2 linked regions of the Drosophila melanogaster genome follow. The protein of the gene in region 1 purifies or fractionates together with the protein of each later gene. This does not show direct contact. Each region holds a gene or a part of one and is shown in the gene's direction. Other genes may lie near its edges.

What was found. The genes of interacting proteins can lie anywhere in the genome.
Region 2: the proteins of CG11771 (region 1) and CG31098 purify together in Drosophila melanogaster (affinity purification with mass spectrometry, with the first as the bait; one large-scale study listed by BioGRID). This does not show direct contact.

Annotation. Positions count from the first base shown.
Region 1 is NT_033777.3:24,930,041-24,935,419, forward strand, and holds CG11771 (uncharacterized protein), read left to right. Parts: upstream 1-1,969; 5' UTR 1,970-2,092; coding exon 2,093-2,196; intron 2,197-2,253; coding exon 2,254-4,342; 3' UTR 4,343-4,879; downstream 4,880-5,379. Other genes in the region: Osbp (oxysterol binding protein), read right to left, coding at 5,359-5,379.
Region 2 is NT_033777.3:25,290,827-25,294,965, reverse strand, and holds CG31098 (uncharacterized protein), read left to right. Parts: upstream 1-1,988; 5' UTR 1,989-2,095; coding exon 2,096-2,938; intron 2,939-3,001; coding exon 3,002-3,218; intron 3,219-3,276; coding exon 3,277-3,470; 3' UTR 3,471-3,596; downstream 3,597-4,139. Other genes in the region: CG31102 (uncharacterized protein), read left to right, coding at 131-630, 695-1,058, 1,115-1,308; CG11893 (uncharacterized protein), read right to left, coding at 3,726-3,910, 3,974-4,139.

The DNA of each region.
Region 1 (5,379 bases):
TAATAGATCACCAATTACTAAGCACATGCTTAAGATAGCCACACGCAGGCTTACCAATGCTCTCAAACAAGAGGAAAAAAACAGCCAACGTTCATATATCGAGCAACTCTCTCCCACCAGCACTAAGTACCCTCTTTGGAGAGCTCACAGAAACCTAAAGACTCCAATAGCGCCAATTATGCCACTACGAAGTCCCTCTGGCACCTGGTTTCGAAGTGATGAAGAAAGAGCCAGTGCTTTCGCTGACCATTTACAAAATGTATTCCGACCAAATCCCTCTACCAACACATTTATTCTCCCTCCTTTAATAGCAGCCAATCTAGATCCTCAAGAACCCTTTGAATTCCGACCATGTGAACTAGCAAAGGTTATCAAAGAGCAACTGAACCCAAGAAAATCGCCTGGCTACGACCTAATAACTCCAAGAATGCTCATTGAACTCCCAAAGTGTGCTATTCTTCACATCTGCCTGTTGTTCAACGCAATCGCCAAGCTTGGATACTTCCCTCAAAAATGGAAAAAGTCGACCATAGTAATGATTCCAAAGCCAGGAAAAGATAAAACGCAGCCATCATCATATAGACCGATAAGCTTACTAACATGTCTTTCAAAGCTGTTTGAAAAAATGCTACTCCTTCGGATTAGCCCTCATCTTAGAATAAACAACACACTTCCAACACATCAATTTGGCTTTAGAGAAAAACATGGAACCATCGAACAGGTCAACCGAATCACGTCAGAAATTCGTACTGCTTTTGAACATCGAGAATACTGCACAGCCATTTTTCTAGACGTCGCGCAGGCATTTGACAGAGTGTGGCTCGATGGACTTTTGTTTAAAATAATCAAGCTGTTGCCCCAAAACACACATAAGCTACTGAAGTCATACCTATATAACAGAGTGTTTGCAATAAGATGCGATACAAGCACTTCACGCGATTGCGCAATCGAAGCTGGAGTGCCGCAAGGCAGTGTACTGGGTCCAATCTTATACACCCTGTATACGGCGGATTTCCCCATAGACTACAATCTAACAACCTCCACGTTCGCTGATGATACCGCGATACTCAGTCGCTCGAAATGCCCAATAAAAGCCACGGCACTCCTATCCCGACACTTAACATCTGTAGAACGATGGCTTGCCGACTGGAGAATTTCAATAAATGTTCAAAAATGCAAGCAGGTTACCTTTACCTTAAACAAACAAACATGCCCACCACTGGTCTTGAATAACATATGCATTCCACAAGCCGACGAGGTAACATATCTGGGAGTTCATCTGGACAGGCGGCTCACTTGGCGCAAACATATAGAAGCCAAATCGAAACATCTTAAACTTAAAGCAAGGAACCTCCACTGGCTCATAAATGCTCGCTCTCCACTTAGTCTGGAGTTCAAAGCTCTTCTATACAACTCCGTCTTAAAACCTATCTGGACTTATGGCTCCGAGCTGTGGGGCAACGCATCCAGAAGTAACATAGACATTATTCAGCGAGCACAGTCAAGAATTCTGAGAATTATCACTGGAGCGCCGTGGTACCTTCGGAACGAAAACATACACAGAGACCTAAAAATCAAATTAGTAATCGAAGTAATAGCTGAGAAAAAAACGAAGTATAACGAAAAGCTGACCACCCATACAAATCCCCTCGCAAGAAAACTAATCCGAGTATGCAGTCAAAGCCGGCTGCACCGCAACGACCTCCCAGCCCAGCAATAAACTTATTAGGGCATTAATGAAAAAAAAAAAACTATCACTAAGTGAAAGTTAATTAAGTTAGATTAAGATTTGAACACTTATTGTTAGTCTCTTAACACAAAGGGAAGATTCAATAAATAATAAAAATTAAAAAAAAAAAAAAAAAAAAAAAGAGAAGTCACAGATTAGGATAGATTGGATTCAGTGACTGCAGTAAAGTGTGATTTTCGCATCACTGCCGGCTCCACCGCTGATGGTGGCAACCCTGGCCGCTGTCACTTGCTTTTTGGTCCAGGCGTGTTGTGTAAACGCTGGCCCCCATTTCAGAATCCCAAATTCCGGCGCAAACTGTCCGGAATTGTACATATCTGGATTAACGACTTCACCTAGGACATGCTAAATCTCCTACGAAGGCGCCCAACGTCGGTGCCCCTCATCCGGGCCGCGCTTAGCGCTCCGCTGCACTCAACGGAAAACCGGCCGGGTTACATAGTGCTGTAAGTACGAAAATTACCCGGATTCAACATGTGGAGTCACTAAACCTATCCCCGCAGGGTACCGGAGATCGGTGAGGAGGGACCGCTAGGCGAGGGCGTGCTCAAGCCGGACGGACTTCCCGCCTTCAGTGACATCACCATCGAGATGTGCTTGGGCGCCATTGGTCAGCAGGCATCGGCGGTGGAGAACTCGGTGAAGGCGCTGGAGAGCGACCTGCACAGTGGCAAGCAGCTAAATGCCGCCAGCATCTTTCGGGAGCTGGACACCGTGACGGGTCCACTGGAGACGACATGGGGTGTGGCCAAGGCTCTGTACCTGGGCAATTCTACCCTGATACCCACCAAATCCTACATGAACATCCACGAACGAGCGCGTAACGCTCGGGCAGCGAAGTTCTGCAATCAAACGGTGTATAAGGCACTCAAGGATGCTTCGTCCGATTCGGGTCCAGATGAGCAGAGGATGCGACAGAAGTTCCTGCTCGAGGGCAAGCTGAACGGGCTCACGCTGGACAAAGATAAGCAGGATGGACTGAAAGAGCTGCTTACCCATTTGGGTCGAGAGAGAGCCAACTTCAAGAACAAGGTCAACATGGCAGTGCACTCGTTTGGACAGATTATTACGGACTTCAATCTTGTAAGAGATTTCCCGCCTTCGCTTCTTGAGGCAACAGCCCGCGATCCCGGACAACCTATGACGGGTCCTTGGAAGATAACCCTACAGCCTCAAGTGGTCGATGGTTTTCTAAAGCACTGCCCAGAGCGAATGCAGCGTTGGAACGTCTGGAGGGCCAGTGTGCTGAAGGCATCCTCGCAGCAGGAAAAATCCCTGGAGAACAGCACACACATCGAAAAAATACGCGGTTTGCGCAAGCGACAGGCAAATCTGTTGGGCTATGAAAGCTTTGCAGACATGTCCATGCAGACCAAAATGGTGGGCAGTGTGGACAACCTTAAGCAGATCTTTGCCAAGCTTCTCAAGTTCGCCGGCCCTGCTCAAAGTGTGGAGCTGGAGAAACTACAGGGCTTCGCTCAGGACAGTGGCTGTGAATACAAGCTGGAAGCCTACGACGTTGCCTACTGGCGGCGCAAGCAACTGGCGGCGGAGCACGGTCTCCAAGATCAGAAGCTCCGCGAGTTTTTCCCACTGCCCCGCGTTCTTTCCGGCTTGTTTGCGCTGAGTGAAAAGCTCTTCGGCATCAAAATAGTTGAGCAGCCCAATGCGGAGGTGTGGCATCCGGCAGTTAAGTTCTACGATGTGTTCGATGCTGATTCCGTCAATAGCTCCACCCCGGTGGGTGGCTTTTATGTGGACTGCTATTCCAAGGAGCACAAGTTCGGCAGAAACAATGGTTGGATGGTGGGCATACGGAACAGCAATAAGTCTGCCGGGCTGACGCCTCTCTGTGCGCTGATATTTAACTTTTCGGAGCCACAAAGTCCGGATGCCAAGCCCCCGCTTCTTGGATACGATGATCTGCAGATGCTCTTCAAGACTTTTGGAAGCGGACTCCAACACCTGCTCACCCAAGCGGGGTACAGCGATTTGGCGGGACTCTCAAACATCGAGTGGGATGCCTCTCAAGTGTCCGGTCATGTGATGAGCAACTTCCTCGACGATCCCACAGTGATTCGAAGCCTATCCGGACACTTTAGCAGCGGTGAGCCCTTGGAGGCTGAGCTTTCACAGAAGATGCGATTGCTGAAGACTCAGTTGGCTGGCTATAATCTGTGCCAGGACCTCTACCTGGCGGATCTCGACGTGGAGCTGCACCGCTCGAATGCCTTCTGGCTGGAGGTGGTTCGCAAGCTGTGGCCGGTTTATCAATGCATGCCGCTGGACAAGAAGGACGCACATCCGTGCTCCCTGACCGACATTTTTGCCGGAGATTGGGCGGCCGCCCAGTTCAGTCACTTGTATTCCCGCCTCATAGCCGCCGACATTTCGAGCAGCTTTGCTGAGCAGCGAAGCGAAGAGAACTACGCGGTCGTTGGCCGGCGCTACAAGCAGACCTTCCTCAGCTGCGGCGGATCTGTGCCCACGGCGGAAGTGTTCCGTCGCTTCCAGGGTCGCGACCCGTCGGCCGAGGCACTTCTAAAGTCGCTGGACATATTTGAACCCTCCCAGACCACAGATAACAACTGAGGGTCGCCCTCTGTTCCGCTAAAACGTTATCTATTGTGTGTAGTCAACAAATGCTGATCGATGGCAGCCTGTGGAGGCCCGACGAGTGGCAACCTTATAGGAAAGTAAGCATTGGAGTATTGGAAAATATTTTAAAATAGTTTTGAAATGTATTCTGTTAAATATTTGTTTATTGGTCAAGATCCCACTTGTACTTATTTAAAAGAAAGTATAGCCGTAATTGAATGACCCCAGCCAGGAAACTGAAAACCAAAAACGATTGATAAGGGCTTTATAAATTTTGGAAGTGTAACTATTAAAACAAGAATTCTATACTTTACGCCTCCACGATTTATTAGTCGGCAATTCGATCTACACCCTAATTGGCAGCCGGATGTGATAGCGATCGCGTGAGTCAGGCGGGATCTTATCGCAGGTGTGCAGGTGGTGTCGCCAGGCGACATCGTCAGTTACCCCAGTTGAACACACATACACACACACGTTGTTGCTTTATTTAAATAATACTTTAATAATAAATTGCATAAATTTATAACATTTAACATATTCTCTCGCTTCTTGCTCGGTTCTCTCGATTCGGTTCGATATATTTATATACACAACAAAGGCGAAGTATGCATTCAGCGGAAAGGAAAAAGACATCTAGGGGTTTGGATGGAAACCGAGGATTAAGAGCTATCATCTGTCTTGGCCTTCTGTTGGAAAGCCACTAGAAATGGTTAACCGGTAGTCAGGAAGAAATAATCAAAGTACATTTCGACGCAGGGGTATGGATTAAACTTGGTTAGTTTACAGGAATTAATTTATATATATATATATATATAAATATGCTCTAGATCAAAGTGTGGTACTACAATATGCGTATGTGCTGCTCCGAAATCAGTCGGAGCGTGTCCCGCTGTGGTGTGTTAGTTGTGTGTGGAGGCTGGATATCTGAAAACTTTAGAATATTCGCTAAGGCTGCTATGTGTGGTAGTGGCTGCAGTTGCTCCCTTGGCTGCTCCGTTGGCTACTGCTGTCTAGTATATGTCCGGACAGCC
Region 2 (4,139 bases), 360 kb from region 1:
AATTACAAAAATTAATTCCTATTTAGTAATTAAAACAAATTTGATTCAAATCAACTTGAGTGCTTTCTATATATAATACTATTTATATCAAACAATATAACAACTATTCGATTTATCGATCGTTCGATAGATGGATTCTCACAGCAAAAGTCCTACATAGTAAAGACCATGCTGGACGACGCCCAGGGAAATGGTGGATTCGTGAATACCCTCAACATTTTTCCAAAGGAGAAGATGATGTACGAAACGATTATACCTAATTTGGAACAGCTTTACGAAGAAGCTGGGCTGAGTGTAAAGTTTGCACCAAAGTGCCACCATGCGGAGGATATCAAAGGAAGGATCTGCCTGGTTCAGGAGGATTTGCAAACGAAAAAGTACCGAAATATAAATCGCCTCAAGGGCTTCGACATGGCCCACATGCATCGAGTGCTAGAAAAGCTGGCGGAATTCCATGCAGCAGGTGCCGTTTGGCGTCAGCGAAAAGGACCGTTTCCCGATGATTTTCAGAGGATTTACCTACCCGCCAACTATCAGAAATCGAAATCGTATCAGGCGAGGCTCCAGAGCTATAAAACTGCAATAGCCAGTTGGGGTCTGGCCGATCACGAACAGTATGTGAGTCGCATTGTAAGTTAAACAATCTAATAAATATCTTAACATTCAATAACATCGATTTGATGATGTATTCAAGCCCACGGCCGATCAATTTGTGCAATCCTACGCCAGCTGCTTTAACAACAATCCGCAGGAGTTTAAAGTTCTAAATCACGGTGATTTTTGGTCCAGCAACATAATGCTAAGCTATACTCAAACTGGTGATATCAACCAGGTGCGTTTCGTGGACTTCCAACTGTGCAAGTGGGGTAGTCCGGCTCAGGATCTTTGGGAACTCATCATATGTTCGGCACGGCATAGTATACGAATACAATACTTTGACTACTTCATCAGGATATACCACACACACCTAGTGCGCTGCCTAAAGATCCTAAAATACAGCGAACGAATACCAATGCTAAGGGAGCTGCATATGAGCATGATCAAGTATGGATTTTGGGGTAAGAATTTAACTAGACGATCACTATATATAAATGATACAAAACTCTTTTATCAGGCTACTTTACCACCTTCACGCACCTTGTGTTCATTTTGCTGCCACCGGATACGGAAGCTAGCTTGGTGAAGCTTACGCAGCCGGGAGAGGAAGGAGATCGCTTCCGGTCCAAGGTGTACACAAATCCACTCTACGTCCGCTCTGCGCTCAGCATATTCCCCTTTCTACTTCGGCGTGGTATTCTAGACTTTTGAAGCGGTTCAAGTCATTACTGTTAAAACCGAAATTAAGTATATGAATTTGTATTAAAGACTAAAAATGTATACAAGTAGATCGATATATATATATATTTTACATACTTTATCCCGTTTGGACTGTAACTTCTTTTACATCATAATTTAATATGTTTTCAACTATCAAAACAAATATAGTAAACAGCATAGTTTCAGCAGATAAACAAATCTATTTGTTTATTGAAATAATTTTCTGAAGTTGATAACTTGTAGAAAATGTGCTAATGCATTTCTGAAGTTCTGAAGAAAATCCTCTAACTGGCATAGAATATGTATAAATCTATAGAATATAGAATATATACCTATAGAATAAATACATTAGATAAATGCCAAGTCATTAAAGCTTATCACAACAGTTGCCTGTATTCAGATCACATTTTATTTGTTCCCCAAGGAAAACAGTAAAACATCACTAACAAGTACGTTAAATATATATGTATCTCTGTTTTTCCACTTTTATTTGTTGTTATCGGGCACAAGTTCCACACTGCTCAATAAACCGGTTTCATTGCCGCCATAGATTCCACATGTACATATAAATAATATTATATATACATAAATCAGCTGATAAGCCAGCGCAAAGCTAACAACAGAGAGAGCTTTACAGAAGCTCTATCTTTCTCCCAGCCCGTCACATGTTTTGCCCCACATTCTTGATTCGATAGCCCCCAGCGTAAGTTGCTACTCAGCTCTCTGTTATTTTTATTCGGTGCGGTCAGGTGACTTGAGAAAAAAAGAAGAAAATACAATGGGAACCGGCAGCAAGAACTACCAGGCTCCGGAATGGCTCACCGCCGAATTCCTGCAGGATGTGCTGAAGGAACACTTCAAGGAAGAGCAGCTGGCAGTCACCGAGTTGATAGTAAAGAGCGCCCAAGTGGGCGACCAGGCGGCGGGATTTGCCAGCGAAATGCATCGGGCCAGTTTCAATCTTCAGAGGGGCACTGCACCCAAAGGCAAGTTTTCAGTGATTGTGAAGGATCATCCCAAGGGACAAACAGGTGCTGTGGCCCACAGGAGTAAGCTCTTCAAGCGTGAGATTCTGGCTTACAAGGAGGTGCTTCCACGTATTCAAGCCTTGCTCCAATCCATTGGAGATCAAACGAAAATTGCACCTACGTGCTACTACACCACGGAATCGCCGGAGCCATTCCTGATTCTGGAGGACATGCAGCTGTCCGGCTTCGAGAACTTCGAACGCGGTCGACTGCTGAATCTGGACTACGTACTGCCCACCATCGAGAAGGTCGCCAAGCTGCACGCTTGCAGCGCCCTTATCGCCCAGGATAGCCCCGAGGTGCTGGAGTTCTTCGACGAGGCGCCCATTTCGAGGAATCCGGACCGTCGTGACTTCCTCACCTTCTTCCCCGTCAACATTCGCTGCGTGGCCGAGGAAGTGGCTCACTGGAAGGGCTACGAGGAGATCACCGAGAAGATGTTCAACCTGGCCGAGAATGTCCTGCAAAGAGCGCTGACCATGTTTGAGAGCACAGGCAAGGATTTCCGGGTCTTCAACCTCACCGATCTGTGGATCAACAATCTCTTGTTCCACATCAACAACGAGACCAAGGAGCCAGACGATGTGGTCACAGTATGTCATTCATAGACGAGAATCCATTCGAAATCCACGTTAATTTATCTCTTCGTTCACTAGTTGGACTTTCAGTTGGCCTATGTGGGATCCCCAACCATTGATCTCAATTACTTCCTCTACGGATCCTTGAACGAGAATGTTCGTAAGGTCCACTATAAGTACATTGTGAGGGAATACCAGAGAGTGCTTCAGCAGACCCTGGAGAAGCTAAACTACCAGGGACACATTCCAACTCTTAAAGAAATCCACATCGAGTTGATCAAGACCAGTCTTATGGGTATGATCATCATCACCATTTATCTATATTGGTTTTCATAATGACTCCACCATTATAGGTGTCATTGGCGCCACTTGCCTGACTCCACTGATCTTCAGGGAGGGAGCTGGTTTCGAAAACCTTGAGGATCTGAACTCACGCACTGAGAGCGGTGATCGTTTCCGCCGGGAAAATGTTGAAAACCCCAAGTATCGGGCTTTCCTTCAGCGAACTATTAAAGAATTCGAGCTATCTGGATTCTTGGATGAATAGTGACAAAGGGCTAATGAAGATTGCGTTACATTCGATCAAAAGTATTCGGGCTTCCACATACAGTAAGCTTTCCAGACAAATATTCCATGAGTATTTTACACCCAAATTAAAAAAAAAGAAAAATTTAATTTGATGATACGTTTTGTTATTTAATTTAAAGCAAAAGGAAACCCTAAAAAATTACATGGTTCATATAGTTGCGATCAATTAGCCATGCAATATATACACATTTTAACTGATAGCTTTAAAAATAGATCAAAGATCGTTAAAGTATCCCATTTCCTCATATTTACCCAAAAGCTTTTTGACATCTTGAACATAAGGGTCATAGAGGTATGATTTTTGTCTGATTTCCGGATCTTGAATTAACTCGTGTATTTTAAACGTATTCGCTTTAACGGCCACAATCATTGGCGAAAAAGTGGTTAAAAGGAAGAAGTCTGTAAAAATATTGAAGTGGTTAGGCTTATTGAAACTAGGCGATAAATAAAATAGGCACTTACCATAAAACTTGTGTCGGTGTATTTGCTTCCACAGACCATCATTGGTCGGCATCTTGCCCTTGTAGCCAACTTTTTTTAACGTGTCCTCCAAAACCGAAAAATAAAAGTTAATAAGATCCTTTCCGAGATCCCATCGCTGCTCTGGCTCCATGAGCATGTACACAGA